Struthio camelus: one gene and its partners. The main gene of each other region encodes a partner of the protein of the gene in region 3 in a complex. Links are inferred from orthologs where the notes say so. Each region holds a gene or a part of one and is shown on either strand. Other genes may lie near its edges. The genes, in order: AP3D1, LAMP1 and AP3M1.

The links.
Region 1: the proteins of AP3M1 (region 3) and AP3D1 are in contact, whole or in part, in a cryo-EM structure (PDB 9C5C), measured with the Homo sapiens proteins. The link is inferred for Struthio camelus from reciprocal best matches to the Homo sapiens genes AP3M1 and AP3D1. Residues at the interface, in NP_001307192.1 of Homo sapiens: Ser25, Ser27, Asp30, Tyr31, Glu34, Pro52, Asp104; in NP_003929.4 of Homo sapiens: Lys29, Glu388, Gly389, Thr390, Thr391, Arg393, Glu429, Arg432.
Region 2: the proteins of AP3M1 (region 3) and LAMP1 are in contact, whole or in part, in a cryo-EM structure (PDB 9C5A), measured with the Homo sapiens proteins. The link is inferred for Struthio camelus from reciprocal best matches to the Homo sapiens genes AP3M1 and LAMP1. Residues at the interface, in NP_001307192.1 of Homo sapiens: Glu178, Tyr180, Phe181, Asp182, Gln381, Val389, Asn390, Arg391, Leu392, Phe402, Lys403, Gly404, Val405, Lys406; in NP_005552.3 of Homo sapiens: Ser410, His411, Gly413, Tyr414, Gln415, Thr416, Ile417.

What each region holds. Positions count from the first base shown.
Region 1 is NC_090967.1:3,339,214-3,348,790, reverse strand, and holds the start of AP3D1 (AP-3 complex subunit delta-1), read left to right. Parts: upstream 1-5,398; 5' UTR 5,399-5,703; coding exon 5,704-5,799; intron 5,800-9,577. UniProt on the Homo sapiens protein: Part of the AP-3 complex, an adaptor-related complex which is not clathrin-associated. The complex is associated with the Golgi region as well as more peripheral structures.
Region 2 is NC_090942.1:156,760,690-156,770,709, forward strand, and holds the start of LAMP1 (lysosome-associated membrane glycoprotein 1), read right to left. Parts: upstream 4,031-10,020; 5' UTR 3,751-4,030; coding exon 3,708-3,750; exon of another isoform or gene 3,703-3,707; intron 3,464-3,702; exon of another isoform or gene 3,239-3,463; intron 1-3,238. Other genes in the region: CUL4A (cullin-4A), read right to left, coding at 9,860-9,955. UniProt on the Homo sapiens protein: Lysosomal membrane glycoprotein which plays an important role in lysosome biogenesis, lysosomal pH regulation, autophagy and cholesterol homeostasis.
Region 3 is NC_090948.1:25,426,401-25,436,515, forward strand, and holds the start of AP3M1 (AP-3 complex subunit mu-1), read right to left. Parts: upstream 4,569-10,115; 5' UTR 4,432-4,568; coding exon 4,429-4,431; intron 1-4,428. Other genes in the region: ADK (adenosine kinase), read left to right, coding at 9,427-9,482. UniProt on the Homo sapiens protein: Part of the AP-3 complex, an adaptor-related complex which is not clathrin-associated. The complex is associated with the Golgi region as well as more peripheral structures.

The DNA of each region.
Region 1 (9,577 bases), on a different chromosome or scaffold from region 3:
ACCCCAACATGGGGCACCCACCACCTAACATGGGGCACCCACAACCCCAACATGGGGAACCCACCACCTCCACCCTCACGCAGCCTACCCATCACCCAAACCCTTGCCACCCACCACCCCCACCCCAACATGGGGCACCCCCACCCCGCCCCGGGCACCCCCGCCCGCCTCGCCCGCCGCGGCCCCCGGCTCGGCCCTGCCCCTCCCGCCGCCCCTTCCCGCGCGCCGCCGGCGCCGCGCCCCGTCCCCGCGGCCCGGGAGCGGCCTCTCCCCTCAGCCGGGGCCGCCGCCGCCGCGCGCCTTCCCGCCCTCTCGCCCGCCGCTGCCCGGGCCGGCGGCGCCATCTTGAGGGCGGCCGCGGCGCCAAGGCGGACGTGCCCGAGGGCACTGCCCGGGGCGGGGGCGGGAAGCAGCGTTCGGGCTGGCTTTGGTCATGGCTCGCCGGGCCCAAACGAGGGGCGGGAGAAGCCCGAAAGGGAGAGGCGCAAGGTGGTGGCATTTGCAGTGAGGGGGGAGGCCGCGCCCAGGGCCACCCCTGGCTCGGGCTCCTGCCCCGGGGCTCGTTGCTGGGCAAACCCCTCCTGCGGCGGCCCCCGGGGCCTGCCCAGCCCTTGCCCCGCGCCATCTTGTCCTTGTCCTCGTCGCCACATCCTGCCCGGAGCCACTGGCGAGCACCATCAATCCGAACAGGGCCAGCCTAGAGCGGAGGGGGACAGTCCGGAGCAGACCCGGACTGTCCGGAGCATCGGAGAACGTGGAGGAAAGAGGGCTGGCGAATCGGAGCGGTGAGAGCGAGACGACGCTGGGCTCGCGCGTCCCCGCGCAGCCTGGCTCGGCTCGGGCACCGCCAGGCCCCGGCGGATTTGCCCAGGCACAGGGGATGCCGTGTAGGCGCACCATAAACGCGTTACGTGGGCTGAGCGGGAGCGAGCTCGGTGGCTTGTCCTTTTTCCTCCCTCTTCATTTCCGTCAGAGACATTCAGGTGAAGAGATGCCAAGCGCGAAGGAGGCGGGAGCGACTGAGAACAGAGCCGCTCCCCGCTCCCTGGCCAGGCTCTGCGCGGCGGAAAAGGGATTGTCTGGAAGAAGCTGGCCGCGCACGGGCTGCCCTGTGTTGCGGGACTCCTCTGCGTCAGCCATGACGAATCTTGCACCCAGCAGCCCCAGGCAGAGCCTCACCCACACCCCCGGCAGCCTCCATCATTTTAGGGCCTGTCTCGACGGCTATCTCACACCTCCCCCTCTCCACCAGCTTCCTTCCCTCAAGCCTGAGCCCTGCCAAGCACAACACTTTGAGTCACAGAATCACAGAATCACAGAATGGTTGAGGTTGGAAGGGACCTCTGGAGATCAGCTAGTCCAACCTCCCTGCTCAAGCAGGGTCCTCTAGAGCAGATTGCCCAGGATCACATCCAGACGGGTTTTGAATATCTCCAGCGAAGGAGACTCCACTACCTCTCTGGGCAACCTGTTCCAATGCTCTGTCACCCTCACAGGAAAGAAGTTTTTCCGCAGGTTTAGATGGAACTTCCTGTGTTTCCTGAGTCCTTTCGGCAAACGTCCAGCAGGAAAAAGGCTCAGGCAAGGACGCACAGATGCAGAAGATGGGAATAGATACACTCTGCACCAAACTGCCGATGAGGCACGTGCCTTGTATTAAACTTCCTTGTCACCATCCCTTCCCTACCCAACATATCCGCCTTGTGGTGATGCACACATTAAAAACTTGTCTACCATGAAAGCACTGTAGAATTAGGTCATCATGAGGAATGAGCTGTTCTGAAACAAGTTTGGATATCCTGTTCCATACTGGTTAGCGAGTGGCTCGAATTCAGATCTCCATTGCGTTGGTGCGAGTCTGGCCACCTCAAAATAACACGGCTCCAACGTCATTGTGTGCCTGCCCACCCTTCTGGTTAAGTACACGTTCTGCACATTTACTGTCAGCTTTATGGAGCGACCTACTTCTGTCTGAACAAATAGTGACAGAGCATTGATGTGATGCAGAGCGGGAGTGACAAAGCAGGGCCTACTACCCAAAAGTGCCAACTGTGCTCAAACCGCTAAAGCGCATTCCCTTCGTTAGATACCTAGTATAACTGCACAAAAATAGTTTGTGTAAATAGAAACATCTCCTTCGGAAGCAAGGGAAGAGACCATGTTCACCGCACGTTTGCTGGGTGCCTGCTCAGGAGAAGAGACCACGGATGCGGCAGGTGTAGGTGGTGTTTCTGGCACAGATTAGGAGCTTTAAGATTTAGGAGTGCTTTCACGGAGCACAGCAGATTAGTGGAGCCAAAGGGGCCTGGCACCGAGAGGCTGGAGACAGAGCAGATCAAGACCTGTTTGGTTCAGCATCATGTCCTCAAAGATGGTTGGTCCCATTCTTTCTTACGTCAAACCACTATCCAGCTGCGAGGAACCGGCTATCCAGAAACAGGCTTTTAGGAATGAGCCATGCTGTGGACATTTTCCCATAGGGCACATCAAAGGAGGTCAGGCCGTGATTTAGCGCAGTGCTTCAGCAGGAACATAACTTTAAGCAAGAGAATATCCCTATTGTCTATGGTGGGTTTGCCTATGGAGTTTAAGTAATTTCATGTGCTTAAGTGGTTTGCTGGACCGGAGCCTGAATGCAGCTTTTGTAGAAAATCATATTTTTGACCTTCACATTTTAATAGTGCTGCTTTCATGTTCCTTCTCCTGAGCTCAGTTTACACAAAGGTATCAATTAACATAATGAATACCAAAGTCATCCCGTATCAGTTAGTTTCAATGAAAGTCTGGACAGCAAAATGCATGGAGCAGCTCTTCCCTCTGCCAGGGAAGAGGGAAGCTGTGCAAGACAGAGAAAAAATTTCACGGAAATGTTGCCTAATAGCCCCTTCTAGGGGAAAAATAGGGTCAGGGCCTGAACTTAGCAGTTTAGGTCCATCTCTGTCAGAAACGTAATGGTCAAGCTTGTGTTTCCCCCCACTAACAGCTACTAGGTTTCATGTGCCCTTAGCTAAAGCTTTTCCATAGTGTTGAAAGTGCAGGATTTACTCAGCGATGTTGCATTGCTTGCTACTGAATTGCAAATAGGCTGAGAGCGCAGTAGAAGCAGCTACAGCTGCTCATGGGAAGGTTTCTTCCCAGAGAAAGCCTGTTGTGAAATTACAGCAGTGAAAACAGAAGGTGGCGTTATTTATTAAAAAGAAATCAGAGCTGCAATTGCCTTATGGAGACAAGAGGCTTGGAGTTTCTAAGGTCTTTAGATATTATCAAGGGCAATGATTAGGGTTAGAGCCATGGTTTTAGTTGAGGATGACTACAAGGGAATTTCATGCTCTCCATAGTTTGGAGGAAGGAAAGTGCCTTAAAAAAGGAGACTGAACCAGCTTGGACCATCTATGAACATCCATACCAGGAACAAAAATCCTTGCAATCTCAGTTTGGGGGGGATTGAATTCTGGGTTGAAATTCACCTCCACCAGACTCTCTCTTAGTCCCCAGCACCCTGGTTTTGGTGGTGTTAAAGCTGCAGATGTATAACTGAGCACCAATGTGTATTTTGGTCAATCCTTCAGAAGGAATGATGTTTAAATGTGGTCGCTGCAGGAATAAGTAGCGGTTTTGTCCCCTTTGCTTCCTTTTTTTCCTAGAAAACAAACAAATGAAAGGGAAACCCCCAACCAATCCCCGCTCAGCACTGGACATATGAGGAATACAGCTCTCCTTTTTCCCAGAGGACCAACTTTGAAGGTAGAGTTGCCTAATTCATTAATCTCAATGGTGAAGTTTGCAGAAGTGCCTATTGCTGCGCTGTCACATCTCCCAGCCTGAGCTTTCATTCCTGGCCCTGTCTCACGGTTATGACAGTGTGACTGCGTGCGGGGTCCAGGCTCTGACTGAGCCTCTGAAATGATCCGAATTAAAAATAGTGCTTTTTTCAAGGTTTATGGTATAGCCCCACAGAGAGCAGCATTGGCACAACTGTGGAGACAGAGAGGTGGTGGCAGGGGAAAGGACAGGTGGCGGTGGGCAGGGCAGCACCTTCTCAACCTGCCATGTCATGTGAGGGACCCTGAGTCTTGGCTGGTTGACTTTTTTTCCCTTGAAAAGGGAAACATAATGGGTAGAAGCTGAGATATGTGGCCATTTCTGAATAAAGTGAAAACAAGCCCATGAGCTCCCTTCTACTGTGAAGGTCCAACAAAAACAAGCTGTAGGTCAAAAGTTGAAGATAGAGAACAAGGAGGAAAAACATTTTAAGCAAACAGAAATTGTTTTCCTTCGCCTGCCATAAAGAAGCACAAAAGGACAAGCAGATCTTTGCAAGGCCAATTCTTTTTGTTACAAGCCCCTTTCTGTTTATTTATCTCTTTGCCAGAATCCCTTTTTGAAGGCAAAGCTGAGGGAGAAGAATGGCCTTTCTACGTTTTCTTTTTCCTCTCCTTATCCAGAGCACCACCCACCTGCAGTAAGAAACATCATCCTCCAGGCAGACACGCATACATGGATGATGCAGGTATTTGTCATGCCGGTAGATGGCTGGCTGTGTCCCTGGCTGGCAGCAGGAAAGCTTGTCCCATCGGGAAAGGTCTTCGGTGTCTGAGATTGGGTATTTGGCATTTGTGTAACCCACAACAAACCCTCACTGTCCTGGGTGTGTGCTCGGTGTGTCTGGCTGAACTGCCGCCAGCCGGGTGCCAGCGGCTGCACATGTGCCCTGTGCCACCCGTGAGGCTCCCAGGTCCCCTGGCTCTTCATCCTTCACCCAGAGGAGCGCACTTTGACCACACAGGGATTTTTCACCTGGCGAAATGGACTATTATATTTCTTAGGGTGCTAAAGTTGGCATGAGTGATAAGTGACTACAGGTAGTTATCGAGGGTCATGTGTGATGCCCTTGGTGGTGACACCTGGTGCCTGTGGGCTGCATTCGGAACTGAACTCATAAGCGACGCTTCCAAAATCTGCATTTATCAGTTGTGCAGCGTTCAAAAACGCACGGAGAAGGGAGGAAAGGCAAGACACCGGGTAGCCGCTTCCTGCGGCCCTGCCTGCAGGGGCAGCAGCCGCACGGAGTTAACTGCCCTGTGTGAGCCGCCGGGGCTCCGCATGAGCCGGCACCACGGAGCCGCTGCCCAGCCGCGCCCGGACTCGCCCCGCCACGTGGGTCCTCCCGGCCCGCCCCGCGCGGCGTGGGGGGCGGGGCCACGCGGGGCGGGGCTTGCTCGGCGTGGTTAGCGGTAGCGGTGACGCGGCTTTCGCCGGAGGGCCGCGGGCAGGCGGGGTGTGGGCGGGGCCGACGTAAGGGGGCGGGGCGTAGCGCGGCGCGGGTGTGGCTAGCGCGCGGCGAGGCGGGTGGCCACGCTTGGGGCGGGGCCGGGGGCGGGGCCAAGCCGGGGCGGGCGGGGGCGGGGCCGAGCCCTCAGCTGACCGGCCGCCATTTTGTCAGGCACTTGGAGGCCGAGCGGAGCCCGGAGCTGGGGCTTGCGGCCAACGGGGCCGCCGCCGCCCGCCTGTAGCCGCGCCGCCTTGCTCCGCGCCGTGCTGGGGGCGAGCACCGCCCACGCCTCCCCGCCCGGGATGTGAGCGGCCCAGGCCCGCTGGTCTCACCCGGTTCTAGCGGTAGCAGGAGCCGCGGCGGCGCCCCCGGCTGGGCCCGGCCCCTCAGCCCCGATCGTAGGCCCCGCGGCCCGGTGCGGCCCCGCCGCCATGGCGCTGAAGATGGTGAAGGGCAGCATCGACCGCATGTTTGACAAGAACCTGCAGGACCTGGTGCGCGGCATCCGCAACCACAAGGAGGACGAGGTGAGCGGCCCGAGGGGCTGCGGGCCTCCCGCTCCCCGCGGCGGCCGCGGCTCTGCTCGCCCTCGACAGGGGCTGGCGCCCCTTTCCGCCGGCCTGGGGCCTGCCCCCGGGGCCAGCCGGCCTCCTCCCTCCGCGGGGTTCGGCTGTCGCCCCCGTCCCCTGCCAGCCCTCCCGTCAGGTTCTGCCTGTCCGGGGGGCTCAGGGGTGATGGAGGGTGCCTCGGCCCCGCTCCGTGCCGCGGAGGCTTGGTTAGGCCCAGAACAAGCCGGGTGGCTCCCCCTCTCCGGAAAGGGGATGTTGTTTTGAGGAAGGTGCAAGCAGGAATCAAAACGAGAAAGCTGAGACTGGGGTGTAGGCTGTAAAGCCAAAAAGGGAAGCTTGTGGGAGGACGAGAAGGCAGTGAGGGAGCAATGAGTTGAAAAAGAGGATAAGGGAGAGTGACACTTCAGTGTTTATTTTCCTATTTAATATATTACTGTGATGCTGAGCTCACTGATACATCTAATAAAGGAATTCCTACCTTCCTGCACTACAGTAATCAACTCTACAAAAAGCTGAATTCAGACACAACTCAGCTTTGAAATTATTCTTATTCTATACCTTCTAACTGAAACACTTTCCACATTTGTAAGCTTATGTAGGTTGGAAATAGTTGGACATGTTGGCCTATTGCTCGTTTTGTATTAGAGCCACATTACCAGGAAATTAGCAGAGGTCAAATAGTTAGTCATCAAGAACATGTTATATGAGACTTTCCATGTTGAATTTAAAGCGTCACATATTAATTTGGAAGTAACGGACACTAAGGAGATCGTTTATGTTCATCTACAAGTAAGTGGTCATGGCCTTAAGAAGCGCTTATGAATTGTCTAACAGTTATCTTTTAGTTATTCTAACCGGTTATCCTAAATATTTAACAGTTATCCTAACTCTTATTATATTCTTCATTACTGGCGCTGTTGGACTGAAATGTAACATACCTTCCAAAAAGCACTTGGTTTTTCAAATGACTTTTAAGCAGACCATTGTGCACACTACAAGGTGTTATTTGCTAGTGATAATACCTGGGAAACTGTTTAATTTTTTTCATTTGATTGTGTGACTGGGTGTAGATTTGGTGGCACAGGAAGACAGTACTGCTGTGAAGTATGCAGCACCCTGCAAAAAATGGGAAACTGTATGGAGGAATGGAAACAGCATTTGTTAAGCTGTGTGAGGTGATACCTAAGAATGTTTATGTGGACGCTTACTGTGTTTAACTTGTGCTGTTGTAGTTCTAAGCTGTTTTTGTTATACTCGGAGCTGGAACAGCGAAACAATAAACAATTCTGTGGGGTGCTTTTCCATAGCGTGTTTAGGCCCAGTTTGTATGATATGCTGCTTTTAGTAAATATATCTTATTTCTTGTGCGCATAGGACAGAAGGTAAAGAGCACAAGTGCTGTTAAGCACCATCAGGCTTACCAAATTACTGTGCATCATGAGCTGTACTGGGTGTTTGTTCTTAGCCTGTGACAAAACTCAGTTAAAATGTGTTAGCTTTAATTTCCTTTGTTTGCGGTTAAGAAAAATATTTGACAGATAATTTTTTTCACAGTGTTGGAAAAATACACACAAACCTACACAAAGGGCTGTGTATGTTTGAAGGAAGTCACTAGACAGATGTGCACACTCTAGCCTTTGCTAAGGTCAAAGCAAATGTGTTACTTTCCCCTTTCTGCAAGTCAGAGGCTGATGTTGTCAGTTGCAGTAGTTGAAGGGTAAGGTGATAGCGTTTTAAGTGATGGTAGCCCTTTGGTTTGAAATTTAAGTCTTGACACTTTAAAATAGAAAATTAATTAGCAATACTTCTTTAGAACCTCATGTGCACAACAAAAATTAAGAACCAAACTTCTGTTCGTGTTCAGCTGATCAGTTGAACTGGCACTGAAAATATTTGTGTCTTCTGTAGCACAATCTTTTTTGGATTCCTTCAAAGATTTTGCTTAATTATTTGAAGTGACTGCAAACAGTGCAGGACTGTTCCTTTTTCTACTTCACTTAGCGGAAGAGGACTGTAAACCTGTTATTAAGATACTGATTACATTGATTTAGTGCTTCTCAGTGAATGGTCATGAACACTATTTCTAGTTTTCAGGTGATGTTGCAAAATCAGGATAGTATTTTAGAGGAAGTAGCTGCAAAAATTCTTCCTTCTTCTCCTACACTGCTTCCATTGTTCATTGTATCTACTAAGTGTTGCTCAAATACAGAGTGCATTTTTTTGGCTGGCTTCTATGTGTCTCAAGTTAAGTGTCTAAGCTCAAGATGCACATTTTGGCCAGTTCAGAAGAGCAAATGTGTTGAGAACGATCTGCAACGTGCTTTGGTGGCGAGGATATTAACTGCTGGGTCTCAGTAAGAATTACTCTGTGAAAGAAATGTGTCTGGAGATAAGGTATTGTGGCTGTTAAAGAAAAAGGAAAGAAATGAGAGTATGAGTATTATTTTGACCCTTTTATTTTGATTTAGTTATGCTTTTTACAGAATGCTAATTTCTGTTATGTACATTGGTTCTTGCCCTCTGGAATTTAAAATCAGCATGTGGAAATTCCTCCATCATTTTTTTTTCCCCTCATCTATCTAGCAGTCTCTCCTGGTAGACAGGAGATAGTAAGATTTATTCCTTTCCAGTTCTTAACTCTGACAGTTCCCAATTCCTCTATAGGTGCTATCACAAGCTATTGTATCTGGTATTTCATTAAACTAGTGGCTTTGTTCCACTGATGCATCAAGGATGTATTTGTAGTGAAGGATATGCCAAATGGTTGTCACCTAGGTTTACGTGTGTGTTTCTCAAATACAGCTTTCCAATAACCTACTACATTCTTGTTTGATGATGACGTATTCATCTTGTGTTGCTGAGACTACCAATTTTAAGAGTGTCCTCCTCAGCTCACTAGAGGAATTGGGGATACTGGAGGGCTACTGGCACTTCAGCTAACATCCTTGCTGCAAAGTGCTTAATTACCTGTCAGAAAGCAACTTTCACTTTAGTTCCTGATCTGTATCCAAAGCTGACCCATTTATTTTGAGTTTAAAACACTGAAACTGAAGTACTGGTGTGCTGTAAGGATGAGAGGGAGACAAGAGGTAACACCTGAGTTAACCTAGTCACTTTTCAGTGCGGACCTATTCTGTTCTCCGATCTCCCAGGGAAATTTGGAGCTGCGTCGTCCTCCTGTGAAGTAAACACTGCTGGAAGAGGAATGAGGTAGCACAATAGCATTAGGTCTTTTCTTAATTTTCAGCACTCTATGCAGATGTTTTAATCCCTGTGGTGTTTCCTGGTGCCAGTTCAAAATTCCGGGGAAAGCCAAACTTACAAGAAAGACTTGAGATATTTTGATCCATTCTCCTTTGACCTTTTTTTCTAATCTCTCATTCATCTGGAGAATTAATCCTTTTAGTAGTGAAAGCAATGAGTCTTTCATCTGTTACTAGGTGCTTTTGTACCCTGTGGAATATATTCTCCCAGTTCTGCCTAGTTTTTGGATGCCCATCTGGGTAAGGGGAGGAGTGGTTTGTACCATGTGATGTTAAGAGTATAATGGATCTTTCTGCTGGATACTCCAAACTGCAAAGTGATTTGTAGTTTGGGATGTTCTCCTGAACTTGAAATATATGGAGAGATAATGCTGTTATTGACACTGTTTGGCTCTTGCAGAGTATTTTGTATTTGCATTTCACAAGCTTATTATACCCAACAAGAAAAGTGCTGTTGAGGCACCTTTACAAAA
Region 2 (10,020 bases), on a different chromosome or scaffold from region 3:
GTTTACTCTCTAGAAGAAGGAAGTCCTGGGATAGCTCTACAGCAACTGATGACATGAGTCTACGGGGAGCTTCTGAATTAGCACCTCTAAACTTTCTTCAGCATCCACTCAAGCTCATTTTGCACGTGCTCAGGTAATTGCAGCTGCACCACAGCACACAGCTAACACATCACTCAGGGTAACTGACAGGTGAAGACAACCTTTTGAGAAAGGCACACCGCCTTGCCAATTTGAAGAGGAAAGCCTCCTCAGAGGATAGCCAATTGGGAAAGAGATAATAAATCAACTGACCTGGTGTGCCACTCTCCTACTCCAATGACACGAGGGTAGCTCTCACTCCTATCAAGGAAAGCTAAGTCTTACTACTATTCCCATAACACTCAGCCTGCAAATTCTGTCTAGCCAGAAACTACAAACCACTAAAGGTTAACGCAGGAAAACTAAACGTATCAAAGGAGCAGTTAGACAAGTACCCCCACCGTACAGAGCTGGACCACATTTGAAACTGCACATTCTAGCATCAGGGCGCTACGAACGCTCTTACACGTGTAATCAAAGTAGCAGAAGTAGCGCTAACAGCCAGCAGTGCTGTCAAGTGACATAGAAGGCTAAGAAACAGTTACCCTTAACCTGAAAAGCAACAGCGGTTTGTCTTCAAGTCAGATAACACAACAAAGTAAACAGCTGAATGAGTCTACTGCCAAGTTTAATAGAATAAACAGCAAGAAATCAATGACAGCGCTAATCTTTCCCAAAGAATTTCCAAATAATCCTGTCTGACCCAAGAGGGGAAAGGCTAAACTACTGCAGTTAAGCGGAAACAAGAGGTGGAAGGTGTGCCTTTTAAGAATTAGAAATAAGTTTCACGGGTTTCTCAATGAAATACCCATCTTCTCCTTTCAGCAAGGCTCCCCCTCAACCCTAGAGTAAATTCTTCTACTTATCACCTACAACCGATTAGAAATCGTCCCATTCACCACAGAACAATCTAGAAATATGCTTCAGCAAAAATGAAGCTTGTAAATCAGTCCAAACAGGAACGCAGGGAGCATATCTCAACATCAGCATGTCAGGGAGCCTAAGGAGTTCTTACTCTGCAAGTAAGAAGCTGCTTTAGAAGTCAAAAAAGCTGCACAAGTCAAAGCTGAGTAGCTTATCACAGGATAACAGACTCAGAACTACAGTAGAAACGTTGAGACTCTGAACACACTCAAAGACACTATCAAGCAAAAACAATGTTCAGGGCAGCAGAAAGTAGCATTTGATAAAAGAATTTTTCAAGCATCGTGTAACGTACAAGCAGTTACACATCTATGAAAACGGCTCTATATCCTGTCTCAGATAGCTCCCTATAACTAGCATTCCCAATGTTAAGGAAAACATAAAACAATTATTCACGGGCTAGAATTTATTATTAAAGTTTCCCCTCAACTATCCCGGTAAGTTACTGATTTTGAGAACCATTTGTGCCTGTTATCAGGACTGCTCTAATCAGCACATCCAATGCAAGTACTGACTAGGGTTTGAAAGTCCTCTTCAGACCAGAGTTGTGCAACAGAAACACCTGGGTCGTGCGTCAACAACCCTGAAACAGCATCATGCTACCTTCTCAAACTCATTCTCCTCTCCCCAAGTCTCAGACACTTCATTTGTGCTTGACTCTAAACTCGGGTTTTTGGAAATGTTTTCTTTGACATATTTGTGTTTCAGCAGGGAAAACACACTATATTCAGGTGCAATCACACCCAAAGAGCGCAAGCAACTCTGCTGCGTTTGGCACACAAGGCAACTGACACTTCTAGTGCTCAACGGCAGAGTATGATCTTCCTTCGTATTTCAAAAGCAACAGCTAAGTCTGTGGGAAAAGTACTTCATCTCCCACTGCCCCTATTGCCAGTATTTATCACTGTATTACTTAAAATATTTGTATGAGCATTTGAAATTTGTGAGGAAATTCAGCAGGAAATACTTAACGCAGACACACAAAATACTCATCTCAGTGGCTTGCTGCTCACTGTGAATGAAAAACTGAAAGAGTAAGTAGGGCGTGGTGAACTATTCATGAAAAAAAAATCAGGCGCATATCAACGCATTGTCCCAAATTCAAAGCACTGCCAAACAATGCTTCCACATTTGACCCACCCAGTCAAATCCTAATGCTAATCCTTAAGTCTCCTGTGATCTTTGAATTATCATGATCAGCGCTCGCTCAAATGACTGCAGGGCTGCAACTGAACCGCAAATGAGCTGTAAAAACGTCCAAAGAATTCACCTCATATAAGGCCATTTTTCTCTCCCCCCAATCACCCCACATTATGGCACAAGATGGTGGAGGCTATCTATCCTCCATGGATAGGAGGAGATCTATCCTCCAGCGTCCGTTTGCACCAAATATTTCAAAATTATAGGACGAAGTTATGTAGAAAGATTAAGCTACACAACAAGACAGGTACAAGATCCTAATTGTTAGCAAATATATCTACTTTGTAATAAAACGCTCAGCACCATCAGAAGCCATACACTTTACAGGCCAGAAAGTGACAAAGCTAAATGCACAAGAATACGTTTGCAACTGCTGGGTAAGCAGAGGAAGACTACTACTGTCCCAAAAAGCACTACCTGTGGTACCACTGTAAAACTATGCAGCTTGCACTCAGAGTGCAAACAAGCAATTTTTAAGTCTTAGCTACATTATACAAGCCATATAAGGCGCTCCCAGTGTAACACCAGTTCAATGCCACTTAAATTACAGACTCCAACCCTAACAAGCAAGCTTGCTAACACTGTTAGTCACCACGCTAGCTAGATGAACGCGGAGCGAAGCCGGCAGCAGATGTGCGCGCTGCTCAGCGCCTCTCGTAATTTACAGCTTTCAAGGTTAGTAAGACGAGAGAAACCGAAGCGCCGTCACCAAAGATAAACAAACATATTTACTAGCCAAGAAATCTTAAGAGAGACGCGAAGGCTGCCATAAGCTCCAAAATCAGGGCAGACAATCCGTCTCCGCGGCTGCTTCATGCGGGGAAGCACTTGGCTAGCTTCTGAACGAGCCCCCTTGGCTGCCAAAGGCTCGTTTCAGAAGCGGGGCAGCGTCGCGCGAGGTGGCTTTCCGCGCGAGAAACCTACAGCAAGGCACTTATCAGCAAACGCGCAAGACACGCTTCCTCAAAAAAAAAAAAAACAAAAACAAAACACCCCAAACCAACGGTCCTGTCGCACTAACACCCTTCTCTCTCACCAGGGCAGCAGAGCGCAGATGTCACACGCAGGTTTTTTCACGCCAGAGGGGGAGGAAAGCCGCTGCCAAGGGGGGGGGGGGGCGCGGGGGGGCACCGCAAGCAACTGCGGAACACGCGCGCTCCCTCCGCGCCGCGCCGCCAGTCACCCCCCGCCCGCCCGGGCGCGGAGCGAAGCAGGACCAGGCCGCGGAGCACCCGCAGCTCCTCCGCGCCAGCCCCGAGCCGCGGGGGGCTGCCGGGCCCCCGCGGAGGCACGGCCGGCGCCGACCCGCTGCCCTCCGCGCCCCACTCGCGCGGCCTCCCGGCCCTCCGCGCTGGCGGATGGCCCCATCGCCGCCCCCCCCGCGCCGAGGCCGGAGCCGCCGCCGCCGCCGCGCACTGGCAGCGGCAGCCGGGCGGGCGGTGCCCGGTAAACCGGCGCGGCGCAACCTCTCCCTCCCCCCCCCCTCCGCGGCGGACCCACCTTACCGAGCAGGGCGGCCGCCGCGAGCAGCCCCCGCGCCCGAGCCATGGCGGGGGCGGAGGGTGGGGTGGGGAGGGGGGGGGACGAGGCGGCACCGGCGAGAGCGCGGAGACGGCGCGAAAGGCTGCAGCGGCGGCGGCAGCGGCGGCCCGGCTGGTCATATGACCTCTGACGTCACCGCCTCGCCCGGGCGCTGGCACGTGACCCGCCCGCGGAGCGAAGCGGAGACCCCGGCGTTTGGGGGAGGCAGCGAGGGGAAATCTCGCGAGAGCGGGGGGGGGAGGGGGGTTACGCGCCCTCCAACGGTCCCTCGCTCGCTCCCTCCCTCCCTGCCTGAGGCGGCGGGCGGTGGCAGTGACTGGGTGTTTACGCACACGCAAAATAATACCTATATAAACACAGTTGAGGGGGGGTGTATATGTGTAAGCACGTGGGGCAGTATGTATACCTAGATATATGCGCGCAAGCATATGTATATAATGCATGTGCTGAGTACGGTATATGCAGTGCGTATATCCATGTACAAACGAGCGTGTGAGGCATACAGTGTGTGTAGTATATGCACAGCACGTGCGTGGCTGCGCTGTGGTAACGCCGCACGTTACGCGTGCAGGTGGGGTTTGCGTAGGGCTCTGAGCTATACGTAGCCGTGTCCGCGGAGGCTGGTGCGCAGTTAACCGCGGGCGGTTGCACGTATAGGTGGTGCGAGCAGCTATACCATACCCATCACGCGGTTCAACCCCGCGTGCAACCCCAGCGGTGGCCCCAGGCTGCTCAGGGCCTTCCTGGTGCCCGTGCCTCACGCTGCCAGCCCCGGCGCCGGCCACCCGCCCGCAGCCCGGACGTGCGGAGATGGGCACTTGGTGGCTTGGGGACTTTCTGCAGACTGTCTCATCTCGGCTACTTTTGCCTGGTAAAAACTGATAAATGAGAACTGTGAAGAACCATCGAGGCCCAGGTTCACCCTAGCTAATTTTAGGCATTAGAATTTAGGCATTTTAGTTCCCAAGAGGGGAACGCAGTCAGTCCAGGCGTCCCTGGGTTAAAGGGGGAAGAGGGTGCTAGAGGAGGGTGAGCGGCACCTTTGGTTACAAATTAAACCCACCTAAATTCTGAATTTCTTCCAGAATACCTTTCTCGCCATGGAGTATAAAGACTGTCTAAGGTGAGTATAGTCATCTTGCCCAGGCTAAAACCAGTCCTAGCTGTATCAAATCACCAGAGGTTGAATAGTCTCAGTTACCTCTGAATTGATGCTTCTATGTATACCTGTGCGTATATATAATCCATGTATCTGTTTCAAGCTAGAAGAGGGATCACTAATGAGTTGTGGTCATACGTGTAAAATTGGGGCTGCATGGGCAAAAAGGTGTATGGGTAAAGCTATATAAAACAGCTTCTGATGTTGTTTGATATTTTTATATACAAGAATTTTAAGAAACCACTTTTTTTTGAGAAAACTAGAAAAGGTGAAGTTTGTCAGTATCAAAACTGTCAGCTGTTAACACAGAAAAGGAGATACAGAGCCCAGGACATTCGATCCTTTCTAATTCAATTCTCTTTCTTGCCTGAGCTGTTAAGGATATACTTTCTCACAGAAAGCATGTACTTCAGAAGTATTTACTTTACTACCAAAATCCTATTTTTAGTACTGTAAGAAAGCGTGCCAGTAATAGGGTGTTTCTGCTTACTCATACTGACTCCCATATCATCCCTCTGCTCATTACAATGTACTCTAGACCAGTCAACTCTGAGACCGAATCCTTTATCCTCCTGAGCTGCCTTTCTACATTTTTACTTAGAACCAAATTGAAATGCAGTTCAGCTATTATTACCAGCAGCTAAAAGTCAATTATAAGTGTTGTAAACTTGATGACCTTCTGCTGTTTGGCTCAGCTCACTTATGTTTCCTATTTCCCCAAAACACCGTAGAGAAGATTATTAGCTCTTCAGCGTGGCTTGTGGATGTGCCTGTTTTTTTTTTTTTTTTTTTTAAACACTGTTACAATAAACAAGACATGTCTTAATACTGCATTTTTGGAGACAGAAATGTTTTCTTGTTGTATCCTTACTTTTTTCTACAGTACATTTATTCTCACCCTGCATTACCAAAAGCAGAAGTTACTCAGCTTTAAAAAGGATGTAATCATCAGCTCCATCAAGTGTTTGAATGAGTCATCTGCAGAGGAGTTGAGGTTAATGGAGGTGGGACAGCGGTTGTTCTAGGTTTTCGATCACTGTTTTTGAGGCCTGCACCGGGAGCAGGGGGAGGTCTGTGGGCTACTTGAAGTCTGCAAAAAAAGCGAAACAGAGAGGGAGCTCCCCTGTCAGGTTTGAACTTGCTATGCGGTGGTCTGCACCTCTACTAAAAAACTGGTAGGAGTCTGTAATTTGGAAAACGTTGATTTTTGGATTAGGACCAGTTAAAAATCAATCTGTAAGTTGCATAAAGCAACAGCACTGTAGCATGAAATTGGTAAGTAAAGAACATTTGGTCATGAGCAGAGAATGATGCTGATCTTATATGCTGTGAATAATTAGCTTACTAAGCCTTTTATAGCAGTGTAGAGACTCCACAGTAATCAATCTCTATGTCACTGTCAGTAAAAGCATCAATGTAGTGATTGTTAGCCTGTTTTCCTAATGAACCGAGTCTTGTGCAACCAGTTTGGCCATTAGCCTCACTGCTCAATAACTTGGCTAAAATCAATCAAACTTGATAGCAAAAAATTTAAAAATTACTACCATAAAAACTGGTATAAAGACAGAGCACAAAGATCCAAGTTAGTGCTGCCATGAAGCAAAAGGTAGTCTGTACCTAGCCCTTGCATGTTTTCTTTTACAGAGTTGCTGGCTAATCAACACTGACAGAGTTCCAGATTAACTCTGGTACATCTCTGACACTGAAGAGCCATGGATGCATAATGGCTGCATATGGGGAAGAGCATGGGAAATACCTGTGAGATATAGGAGACCAGTTACACAGCACACACTCTTAAGGCAGAATACCACTACGTAAGACAGCATCGAGGTTGAGAATTTTTACCAGGGAAAAATTTCACTGAAACATGACTCCATTTTTTCTTTAGCCTTTTGCTGCCTGTTACCTGACTTCACAGGGTTATTTTCTGTCTAGAGACTTGCGAGGAACAGATAACCAACATTATAGTAGAGTCCACTCCCCCAACACAACTGTCAAAGCTCATAAACGTACAGATAAGTCTAAATGCACAACAATTGACGCACTAAAAAAATTGCCTGAATGGTATGTAATTTTTTTTTCAAATGTGTAGCACAAAAAAAGAAAGACTCTGAAGAATACACAAAGAGTTTGAAGCAGGGCAAATGAGTTAGATCATAAAGCCAGGTCCAAATAAAGGACTTGCAGTGGGAGCTAAAATACAAAACTAGGAAAAGCAAGACACAAGCAGTGGGCAGGAAGGAGGCTTTTTGTGGTTGGTTCTTTTTGTCCTTCCATACAAGTTGCTACACAGTCTGTTCCAAAGGTGTTGTGTTGCCAGGGACTTCTCAAGACTTCTCTTTCTACTGAACATGGATGCGCTGCAGAGGAAATCTGTTCCTTTGCCACACCCTGATATCTTCAACATTAGGTGATCTTCCAGCAAGAAAATTTGAGACACCTCTGCCCTGTGGGCACAATACACCCAAGGATGTGGTGAACCACCAAATAGCCAGCATCAGACTAACAACTGGCTGGGACAGGATGCTCAGCCGGATTCTATCACTAGCTTTAAAAAAAGCAATCAAATGCAGCTATTTTACTATGAAATAGCGATTACCGGGCTGACTGATAAACTAAATAGTGATCTTTTACTTCTAAACTGCTTACCTATTTGTTTAGCACATGCAACATCCTAGGAGGAGGAATATGAGAAAACCAGATTAAACATGAGGGCCTGAGAAAGAGAGTCACGCGTGATGACACAGCCCATCAGTCTCTCGTGGCTCCTGAACCTCTAAGGCCGCTGTCAGAACAATTTCAGAACAGAGAGGCCGAACTAATGAGAGAAACACAACAGTGCTTCTTGAGGTTATTGTGGTTGGGGGGCTGGGAGCAAGAGAGGGGGAATACAGCATAGGACAACAGACATATACATCATACAAATGCAAGCTTAATTATTTCCACTGCTCATGTAACAACTTATTTTTAATTGGTATACCAGACAGAGTAATTCAGCCAAGAAGTTCTACTCTACGGCAATTAAGAAAAATTGCCTATCTCAGCATTTTTAATTAGTCAATCAACATCGCTTCATAAGGCAGAACCATTTAAATCATCTCCCGAATAACACCACTGCTTTTAACATAATTGTTTAAAACCCCCGAATGAGGAAGTTTGGGTTCAGAAAGGGAAGAGAGTACACATTCACTTCTTGATATATACCACCAAATTGTGTTGTCCATTACTGCCAACTTTCTGGGTGGATAAAGCCTCTGCCCATTTTACTTCTGTGAGGCATATATGTCTTTTTGTTTCAAAAGTCTAGTAAGATGGAGCTGATTAGCTTTCATCTGCAGTGAAAGTAAGTTACAAGGCAAGTGTTATAATTAACACTAAACAACAAACTGCGTAAGTACACTTAAGTGCTACATTCTCACAAAGGCTAAGGAATTAATGTTTAATATGCATCAAAGTTTTTATTTGAATTAACTGAAGATTCAAATATTAAAATAAGTCTACATTAAATTACAATATTAAATATGTTTTAAATACAATAAACTAAACACATGTTTAGTTTCTAAACAAAGGGAATAAAAATAGTTCAAAAGAATGCAATACAATTAATGACATCAGATGACAAAACAAGGACTTTAATATGTAAACTCATGAGATGTCAACTTTTAGCAATGCTTACTTTAAGAAGAGATGGTGGCCTTTTAATTGATGCACAAAACCATATTACATAAACTTAGTAAGTTGTCTCTCAAGAAAATATTGCTCAGTTAAATTCTCATTATACCATGATCAAAACCCCTTCCTTTGGTAGCTCTTTATCAGAATGAAACACACTATTATGCAAATCCTGAAAATAAGCAGCAGCTTGTAAGTATTACCACAAAAGTATCTTCCTTATAATTACAGTTATCTAACAGATCTACAATGTCTTCCATTCTTTAATTCAAATCAACTTACATATATACAATATGTAACAAAGTACTCACAAAAGCCTTAGTCATTCAAGACAAGAACTATGCTTTCATAACATCAAGACTGTAAAAGTCTTTTTTTTTTTTTAATTTTTTTCCTTTTATTTATTCTGTTTAAGTGGAGCACACTGTACAGTAGTTTCCCTGTATGTGACTTTAAAGGCAAAAACTAAATTTACGGCAATTACATGAACAGAGATAAAAACCAGTTGCCCTAAAATGAGGTAGGGCCTCTTTGACTCAAATCTTAATTGCCACCCAAACCAGCAAAAGTAGTAATAAAATAATAATCCACAAATGAGTATCTTGGCTAAATAATAAGACATCTCACTACACACATCAACACAGTTGTCCTCTTGGCACTTCAAGGATCTCACTTCAAAATCTGATTTATCCAAACCAGACTGAAGTTTATAATCATTTGAAAGAAAATTAAATGAATACGAGATTAAAAGTATTCATGGTGCATAATTTCAAAAATTTCAGTGTATTTCAACAACACTGCTTGTACATAAGTGTTCATCAATTTAGGGTTTTTATAAAGTTACCCAAGTTGTCTCTGTAGCTAAAGAATGCAGCATATTATAGGGTCTCCATGGATGCACAGTCAGGAACACACACATGAATAAACCAGACTTGCATCTATCATAGAAGTATTTCTTACACAGGTAATTTTACCTTTCCATTCAATTTCAATGACATTGTTAAACAAAACTGTAGAAACAGATTTTCAAGAACCCCAAAGAACAAAAGAAATAACTAAAAGAAATAAAAATGTGACATTTAAAATTACTGTGGAGTCTTGACAAGGATGATCCAATGAACGTGTCGTTTTGCTTCTCTTCCATAGCAGTGCATGCAGCTGGTTGAATAATATATATCAACCTGAAATCTGCTAATAGTAAAGTCTGGGACAGCATAGGTATTCAGCATCCTGAAGATATATGTGGATGTTTTGTTTTGTTTTAATAAAAGGACTTCCTCTCGGTTATGCAACATAGTGATACTGATTGGGGTTGTCTTTGTCTCTCTCCATATAGTCTCTGTCAATGAGAGATTCAATCCTCTTCTTCAAGTCTCCAGGCTACAATAAAAGATCAGAGTAGTAAAACAATTAACAATATAAATGCAAGTATAAGTTTGGATATT
Region 3 (10,115 bases):
GCATAACATTTACACACATAACTGAGCACTGATGTATCTTAAAGATAAATATTTTCAGTTTGTCACCTTCCAGCTACTGAACTAGAAAACAGTGTTTCTTATTTGCTCGCTGATTAGTCTTTTAGTTACGACCTATGCCAAGCGGCCCTTGCATAAAGGCCCTTGGAATTCATTAGAAGGACACAAATCCAGATGTTTAAATCTGTTTTAATTAAATAAAATTACCTCAAACTTATTTGATACACATGAAAAAAGCTTGTAAAACATGTCTTACATCTAAAACTAACTCTCTCATGAACGAGGAAGGTATTAGCTCCAAACAAAGACTGTAACCCTTTTAGTCTTGTGTCTTTCAGGATTAATAAATAACAGGTCTCAGCCTCTGATACTTCATTTTATTCATGGGAAAAGAAGCTTATCTGCCTTTTTTTTTTAAAACTAATTCCTAGTCTATTTCTCAGCTTTCAATGAAATAGTAGCTGAACTGAGAAGCAAATAAATTATTTTCTCCACCTCTATAGAAGAGATAAATGCTACCAGACTTCAGTTTAGCTCTTTGACCTTTACCTGAGGCAGGTATAATGCTTTGCCTGACCTGCAGTATAACTGTCCTGTGACACAAATTAAGGTCTGAGTTTAAATTCAGGCTTAGAAAACAAAATGAACACAGTATAACCAAGCACAGGCTCCTTAAGCTGCAGTTAACCTGTTACTTATATCCTGCACAGACTCATTCTGTAGTCGAAGAAGCTGTCCCTACCAGTGGCTTTTCCTTCTTGTTGCCTTCCAGGTGTTGATATTAGTATGTCTGTGGCTCTGTAGTCAACCATATTAGGAAACTGGTTCAGCCATAAACTGACCCAGAAAAAAAGAGTTTTTGGTCAGATCAGCCTCCTGATCCAGGTCACTGCATTGCCAGAGCGTGAACTAAGCGTATGCTAGTTACTGAAAGTTCATCTAGCCTTTGGAGGAATTCAGTTGTGACTGGAAAGAGACAGAACAGTTACTGCGTGTCAGCACCTTTGGCACCAGGGACAGGAAGGCCACCACCAATTCCTGCCTAGGAGAAGCCAAACACATCTACCAAAAACCTAACATAGTTTTCATTCATCTCAGGAAGCGTGGCCAGGATCATGCCACAAAATGGAGATAAGCTTTGCTCCTTAGCTAATGTAACTCTGGCACAGAAACATGAAGACAGCACAGAAACGTCTACATGTAAATGGCCCAGTCCCACAGAGATTTTTAAGGAGTCTGAACACTGCATGCCATAGCACTGGGAAAAGCCCATAGCTCCAGAGCGGACTCTTGCTGCTGTGTCTAGAGCTCAACTGTCCAGAGTACTAGGTTGACCTTCCAACTCACTTGCAACACTGAAAAACGGTTTGGGCCTAGAGAGATTGACAGTACCAAAACAGGTCTTCCAAAGCTCACCTGAGAAGATGAAAAATAAGTAATAAGGAAGACAGCCAGCATGCTATTTTCCTCCATGTAAGACTGCAGAGGTGGGAGGGAGCCAAGATACAGCTTTTCCAGTTTTACTCTCTACCTGCTCCTTCACGTGCAGGACACAAACATGCTCACCTTCAGGGGGTCCTTGCCATCTCTTAAATACCTCCTGTAAAGAGCACAGTCTTTGCTGGTAGATGTACAAAGAGCAACAGTCAATACATGGATGGAGAAATCCTATCAAGCCAACACGGTGCATAAAAGGAGTTTAACTTGGAAACTGTAACTGTCAGTTTGCTTAGGAGTAGGAAAGGAAACAAATCTACAAACTAGTACTACTGCAAGTTTCCACTATACCTTTCATGGATCAAATTCATCTCTATCTTTGTTAAAAAAAGACAGACAACTTTTATACTGCGAGCACAGCATTCTTATAAAGGGACCTTAACACAATTGCTTTAATCCAGTTTAACCAAATGTGTTCCGAGTTTAGCCAGTGCTGAACATTAAACCCCTCCAAAATCTCCTGGATAGTCACACAACAGTGGCAAGTATAATCAACCACTGAATGTCAGTATTGTTCCACACCAAGGCAGCCCAAACATATGAAGGTGATCAGCTATAAAGCTCAGAATAGTTCTCTGTACATTTTAATATGGATACAATAGCATATCTGTTAAAGATAAAGCCCAGTTCCCAGTAAATGCACACAGAGCTGCATAGGAGAGTGTCAGTATTAGCAGCGCTAGTGCGGGCTGCACTGATAAGACTCCCATTTCCAGAAGACTTGATCTATAGACCGCGGTGAGGGAACAAGGCTGGACTGTGGGGCAGCTGTGGATGATACACTGGCAAATATACTTGGAAGTGTTACAGGCTACTTTTAGGCCCCAGCAGTTGTCCTGATGTTAAAGCTCATACAGATTCTATTGATCAGAAACCATTGCATTTGTTACTACACACTTGAACAAATACGGCAGTCCAGCATGCCACCATAATCGCTAACGAACTACAGTCATTTACTTATGCAGTGATCACAGCTGGCTCTGCTGGTAGATGAAATGACTGTGTTAGCATAGCCACTTTTTTTGCCAGAAATCCCACTTACAATATTAGACCATGACTTGATATGCAAGAGGAGGGCCTGGGCAGCCAGAAAGGGCAGCAGCACTTGACCACTGCCTCTATCTACTCATTTGTGTTCCTGCCCCAAGCAGCCCAGATGCTAGTTGTGTTCATCCGAGTGTTTGGGCTGCCATGTGGTAAACTGGAATAGCAAACTGATCCGGAGGACCACACTTGGCAGATCACGGCTTTACAGCACCTGTGGAACGCTGAGCAGCAGAAACCCACCTGACTGCCTACCACATCTTCTGCAATTTTTACACAAATTCCTATTATACGTTATTACTTTACTTCAAGCACAAGAATTCCCTTCAAAACCCCACACATTCCCCCTTTCCTCCTTCACAAGTTTCAGCAGCACGTTGCTAAGAAATGTGAGTTGAAGTGCTCCGGAAAAATGGCAGCTCTCTCTGCACAGACCAAGCACAGAGCAGGCAGTGCACACTCTGACAGCAACCGGCACAAGGCTGGTCCTACGGGTAACTGGGCAGCTCGGCTTGTTCGCTTCTCTCTGCCGCTGGTGACAACAGAGAAGCTCTAGTAGCGGTGGGAGGATCAATCTGTTAGGTGCAAGACCAAGTCATCTGATTTATCCCATACACTGCCAAACAATTGGCATCAGCCAATTAAAATGGATACTGATGATGGATATCTTATGTAAGCTAGTATTTAACAAAAATTACTTACAGGACTTCCAATACAGAAGATTTCCCAGCTAATCTATTTTTTGAGTGCCAGACTTCATTAAGACATTTAGACATCCCTGAATTCATGTCTCATTACCCTACCTTCTCCTTCTATCTCACAAGAGCTTTGGGGGAGGGGAGGGGGGGGGAGATTAAAAACAGTGCAAGACAAGAAATCAATCCAGTAACAGTACGATTCCTTATACCAATAGGTCAAATAAATGACACAAGTGGCCAGATAGCAAAGCAGGTTAAGAACTGGGACACTTTGAAGGTAAAGGTCTCGAATCAAATTTCTTAAGTTTAAAAAACAGTAGTGAAAGCACATGACCAAAATTTAAGAACTGTCAAACCTTTGCAGTACTGTACACAGAGACCACTTTGAGATGGCAGCATAAAAGCAATAGATGTAAAACACTAAAGGCGTATTTCTAGGAATATTTCAAAAGGACATATCTCCTCTATCTCTGCTTTTAGGCATATTCGAAAAAGCAGACTAAAGATGTGCATGGATTATTACTTTCATCTTTAGCCCAGAGCAAGCCATTCATGCTCATTTTTAACAGACTAGCAGCCTTCGATTGTGAGTGATCTCACAAAGCACTGCAGCACACGTAACCCAGCAGAGGTTCTGCAGTTTCTTTTCACAGATTTCCCATCCTTGCCAAGAGCTCTGACATATGAAATTCCACAGGCTTCTCTTTAGTCGCTTCTGTTCTACCAGAATTAGAAGAACTACAAGTTCTTAGCTAAGGTGTCTTCAGTATGCTGATTCCAATTCTTTATCTTTTCTTTTGATTAAATTTGGATATTGCAATTTCACTCTTTTCTCTGTCTCTTGGCAGAGAAACATCTGGACTAAAGTCACAGTAAGTTCACAAGATGAAGCAGTGCTCACTGGTAGAAAGGAAAGGCTGTGTTCATGGGAACAACACTGACAGCATATGCTTGTCCTCAGCTACAATTAGGTACTCTAAAATTTAATTAATGCGGAGATACTCTTGCCAGCTGCTTTTCCATAACACTGAGCTGAGTTACAGTCAAAGCTCTGCAAACCAGGAAGTAAGGAATTAATCACTGGCCTCTGCAACGCCCTTTACAGCTAGTAATAATCACTGAGACTGTCTCCGTATGGGATGGACTATAACAAGTAAAAGTCTGAACATACCATCACTTGCAAAGTATTCCAGAGCTTCTGTGTTCCTGGTATTTAGTGCAGCTGCCCTGAATGGTGGAAGGATTAGCGGGAGTGGATTGTCTGAGCCTCTGTTATATATTTGTGGAGATGAAGTTGTAGTGAAAAGCCCTTAACAGAACGGAAAGCAATCTAATGCTTAAAGTAAACTAGAGAAATGAATAAACCTAAATAGGTAGGTCTGTTTCTATTTTGAAGCTAGTATTTTTGTCACAACCAGAACGCCAGCAGTTCAGCTTGTTCTTATAAATTCAGGATTGACACATGACAAAACCAGACAACCTACATTTCCCACCTCCCCAACCCCATTCACCAGCTCTTAAAGCAGCAAACCTAATGAAGAAAAATCCTATCGATTACTTTAATGACATTTACAAGACAGCCAGCGTTTCAGCTCTGAACACACATATAACTAGTTGGGACTAACCGGGATACAGCATTAGTAGTTGTGATTCAGTATTCGTGATTCAAGATGATGCACCTGAAAGTCTCAGATCTCATCAATACGTGAGTGTTCTGCAACTACCATTTTTGCAGGGCTCCTCTCACTGTTGGCATATGTTACTGCTGCTACTCAAGTATCATCAGTCTTTTCACTTACAGGATACCACAGCTTAGGTGTCCATACTATTAGGGTGAAATATATTTGCAGTCATTCGTCTGAACTGCTTGGTGTCCTTCCCTGTTATTCAAGTGGAAGTCCCAGAATCAAAGCAATTCTAATCCAAGATCATCAAGTGCTTGTGTCTGTACAGTAACTGCTTAGATGCATATTTTATCAGCAGGGTCATCCCTGTTAAAAACTAACCAGTCTGCATCCCAGCTGCTCAGTATACATTTATCTATCTTCACTGTCATTTAAAACAGTGGTAATAGCTTTCTGGAATTCTTTCTGAAAGGAAGTAGTCCTTTAAGAATACTATGAAATTGTCTTAAATCAGTATTTAGTATCCATAACAACCTTTCCAACCACCTCCATGTTTTTTACTAATAACAAACACAGTCTGCCTAAGAATTTGCGCAGTATTCCATCTACTGAGAGACAGGCTTTCCAATAATATGTTTGCATGCTGCCTTTGTTCAATTTAGTTTCAGCATAAATCCTTTAATTGCTGGCAACTGCATATAGTTCCATCTCTTGCCAACACCAAAATATTAGATCCAGAACAACTGAACAGTATTAGATAATGAATAACTGGCATTCCCTTTGGGTTCTGCAAGAACTGAAAGCTTCACTGTAGAAGCTGAAAATCCAACGGAGTTGCTTAGAAAAAAAAAAAAAAAACCCTAAAAACTGATTGCTAAAACTACATTTTTTACATGAAGATGGAACAGCATCTCTAACACAAATTACATCAAAATCAGTTGATTTAGGACTATTAAGGGACCATTTAAGAAATTCATTCTCTGGAAATGCTACTGAATAAACAGATAGGGAGGACTAAATTGACATTGATAGGGTCAACGTCTTGTCACATTTCCTGTCAAAGGGATTTTCAGGAACAGACTGATAATTAGGCTCATATTCCAGTCAAACCAGAGAACTGTGACTGGCCAGGGCAGCAATATTCGATCACAGGAAACAAAAGCCTTGCCCTAGTAGCTCTTTGGGAAGATGTTTTCCATCATGCTGTCCCAATACACTGCTCCAGCAACTGTGACAGGCTGGAGAGATAGTGCCACCAGCTTTATACTGCTCTTTTTTCATACGCTCTATTTTAAGAGGCACTCTAGGTTCAAGAAAGGACATGCACAACGCCCAAAGGGCCACGCAGTACTGAAACACTACACCAGAGACAACCAGTATCACTGGAACCCTGCTGTCAATGACAGCTCTTACTAAGGTGTGTGCACTATGCCACAACTAGTTCAAAATCCAGATGGCAGAAAGAAGGCAAACTACCATTTTTTCCTTCCTTTCTCTTCCATGACAAGAGCACAGAGCTGCACTCCTTGATTTTACCATCTGAATGAATAAAATCAAGCTCCATAATAGTGAATGTTAAAGAGTTCCGCGCAGTTCCCTTTAAAAAGCAGCCTTTGATGCATGTTTGTTGAATAAACATTAAAAGGATTTCACTTGTTTTCTGTGTATTACTTAAGTTTTGAAAGCAATGTAGGAAATAAAATGAGTGAAAACAACAGGAGAATAAGAGGAAGAAATTCTACATTTTAAACAGGTTTAATCAGGTTTCTTCCTGTCATTACAGCTATGAAGTACAGCTGCCACTTGTCACCTGCTGTTCATGCTTCTCTACCTCAAGGACTTCAACTTCTTCTTCAGAAATAGAAATCTTATCATGAGAATTTAAGATTGCCTAAAGCAGAACTGCTTGTAAAGGGAGTTTTGTCTGAAGGAGTAAGCGGGATTTAAATGTGTCATAGTTATTTTGCACAACAGAAAACTTCATTTTTGGGCAAGGACAGCAAAATTAAGCACTAGAGAGTGTGCAAGGATCTTAATATTTAATTTGCCCTCTGTGAGGAATTTTCAGGCAAGTGCACAGGGACTGGAAGCAATCTACTTATTCCATTTTTTCCAAAACCAGATTTGTTTGTGCTTTGAGTTAGCAACCAACATATCACAGATTAAATTCTTGACCATTAGAATGGAATACCATTCATTTTTTTTTCTTTTATAATAAAAGAGAGGCTATGTACAATTCAAACCTCCTAGCAACAGCTGGCTGAACCTTTCTCATGGCTGATGTTGTCAGTCCCTTTGTAAAACACTGCTTCCATCATCATACCTCTTGCATGAGTAATTTGATTTGCTTGTGCTTTTCTTGCAAAATAGCTTTTCCTCACCCATAATGCAGTCTGCCTTCTATGAACATGAACGTTCATTATTTGTTATGATTTTTTGGCTTGGTCGTTTATACAACCGCTACACTTCATGGTGAACCGCTTATTTCTGTTAGATCCCCCTACATTGGGTACAAACCATTCAGCATACTGAAAAGACGGTAAGTGCATTGTTACTTCAAAACACATTAGCACCCCTGAAACAAAACAAAAGAAGCTGCAACCTCCAATTACCCTGTTACAAACTGAACAGGGCAGAAGTGATGTGGAGTACACAAGGAAGGATGATAATGGAGTGATTTCTAGCATACAGCACAGAAATGTATACTCACAAGGACCCTGGCTAATTAAGCAGGCATAGCACGAGCAGATCCACTGGGTCTGCAGCAATGATGCTAGAGTAAGATTTGGTGAGCTGGGTGCTACCCCTCCTGCAGCCCACCTGCCCCCATGTCTCTTTGCTGCAAATTTCTCATAGAGCCTTGAACAGCAGGTCCTGCCTCCTTTCTCCTGGGAGGATCTGCTTAAGCAGGCCCCGTACCAGAACAGACCCAGAGCCTGAGAAACTCGGACGCGTAGGGGAAGGAAGGAGGGAGGGAGTAGAGGGCAGTCAGTAGTCTGCTCAAACCAGTCAGCCCCAAGGGCAACGCATGCATCTCCTGCGCACCGGCCAGGGCTTGCCGTAGGGAGCACCCCAGCTTGGCTGAGATCTCCTGGTCTCTAGCAGCTGCTCTCTACTACCTCAGTTGCACTGCGACTAACTCATTTATATTTCCAAGCATAAACTAATGTTCGGGGAAAAAGTATTAACAACAATGTACTGTTTTCGTCTTTTTAAAGCGGATTCGGAGAAAGCCAAGGAGTTGTACAGACACAAGAAAGGCACTAAGGTAACAAATCTGGGGGTGGGAACACATCCGCTAACTTACTCTCCAGGGGAGCCACAGCTAACTTTACAGAAGGGTAACTGCTGAGGTAAAGCTCTTGCCCGCGTGGAGTATTTGATCTGTCCCCTTCTCCTGTAAAAAGGAAATTAAGACCTCCCTGTGCATAATCCTCCTTCTCATTAGCACTTCTCGTTTCAGAGGACCATCTACATAAACTGTTTCAGTTGGACACGTGCACAGAGCGAGCTACAAAATACTCGGCGAGTTTAGGCGCTTCTTAAAAAGAAAACTACATAGGCTCGCTGTCACGGCCTTCCCTTGCCCACATTAAGCCTCGGAAACTTATCCCGTGACCGGTTTGTTCCGGCACGGACTAAAGACCAAGCGGCCTGGCCGAGGCCGCCGTCCCCGTGCACCTGCTCCCTCCGCCCTGCCCGCTGCCGGCACCGGCGCCGGGACCGGGACCGGGGCGAGCCCGGCCTGGCCCGCTCCCCCGGGCGCCCACAGCTCCCCAGGGCCCCAGCTGAGCCTTTGCTCATGCCCAAAACACACCGCTCCGCTCCCGCACGAGACGGCAGGCGGCTGCGGGGACCTTTTGTTAAAGCGCAGGAACAACGCGGCGTCTGGGCGGCCGCTGAACACCCGATGCCAACGCAACGGGGAAGCAAAAGCCCTGGCGCTGCCTGGCAGCCGCCCCTCACCGCACCTGACGGGGAGGCCAAGGCCACCCCGGCTCCCGCCGCCCCGCGGCTCGCCGTGAGGCGCGGAGCTCCCGCCCGCCCCGGCCCCGGCCCCGGCCGCACGTACCTCCCCCGGCGCGGCCCGTCCCGCTCCCGGCCGCAGCGGCCAAGATGGCGGCGAGGCCCGGCGCGGCGCGGGGCCGCCCCCCGGCGGAGGCGCGGGCGGCCGGGGCGCTGCCTGCACCGAGCGACCAATAACAGAGGCGGCGGCGGCCGGCTCGGCGGATCCCCCCCTGCTGCCCCTCCGGGGGTCCCCGCGGCCGCGCACCGCCGGCCGGCGCCCTCCGCAGCCGCGCGGCGGGCAGGGCCCGGGCGGCGCCGGCAGGCGGTTAAAGCCGCGCGGGCTGGTGGCGCGGGTCGGGGCGCTGCGCTGAGCGGCGCGGGGGGGAGCGGGCGGCGCCGGGGCTCCCGTCAGGCGCCCGGCGCGGCCGCCTCGCGCCATCGCCTCCGCCCCCGGCGGCGGCGGCCGCGCCGGGGCGGGGCGGCGGCGCCGGGCGGGAGGGCCGAAGCGAACGCGCCGCACGCCGCCCAGCGCGAAGATGGCAGCGGGGGAGCCGCAAGCCAAGAAGCTCAAGCTGGAGCAAAACCAACTTAGGTAACGGGCGGGCGGCGGCCGGGGGCCCGGCTGGGCGCAGAGGGGAGGGCGCCGAGGGCCGCGCGGCGCCGCTGCCGGTGCCGCCCTGGCGGCGGCTGAAGCACGTGCGGGCGCCGCCGGGTCCGCGCTCCTCCCCCCCCCCCCGGCCGCCCCGCTGCGGCGGGTCCCGCCGGGCTCTGCCCGCGGCGGCGGGAGGAAGCGCGGCCCCCGGCGGCGGCGGCCGGGCCGGGTGGTCGGGGCGGTTGTGCCGCAGGTTTTCCTGGTTAGACCCTCAGGAGTTCAAGGGGCTTCCTGCGCCCTTGCTGCCTATCGTGTGATAACGCTGAATGGCGCCTTCGGTTACTGCTCCCGGTTGCTTGCCCGGGAGATGCAGCTCGTTACCTTCGCGTGTCCCTTCTCCTCCTCTTTTTTTTTTTTTTTTTAAATTTTGTCTGCAGGAAGTCGTGATCCGTACCATTCAGGGGTCTCTGCTTGCTCTCGTTTAGGCAGGATTTTAAAGGGATCTAAAAATTCTTGTTAGCATGTGTGCATGTCGTCTTCAGGACATGTGACATACTCTCAACGGTGCTGAGATTAAATTAAGCAGGAGCGGGAGCGCAGTGCCGTTTGCCGTACTTCCTGATTTACCGCCCG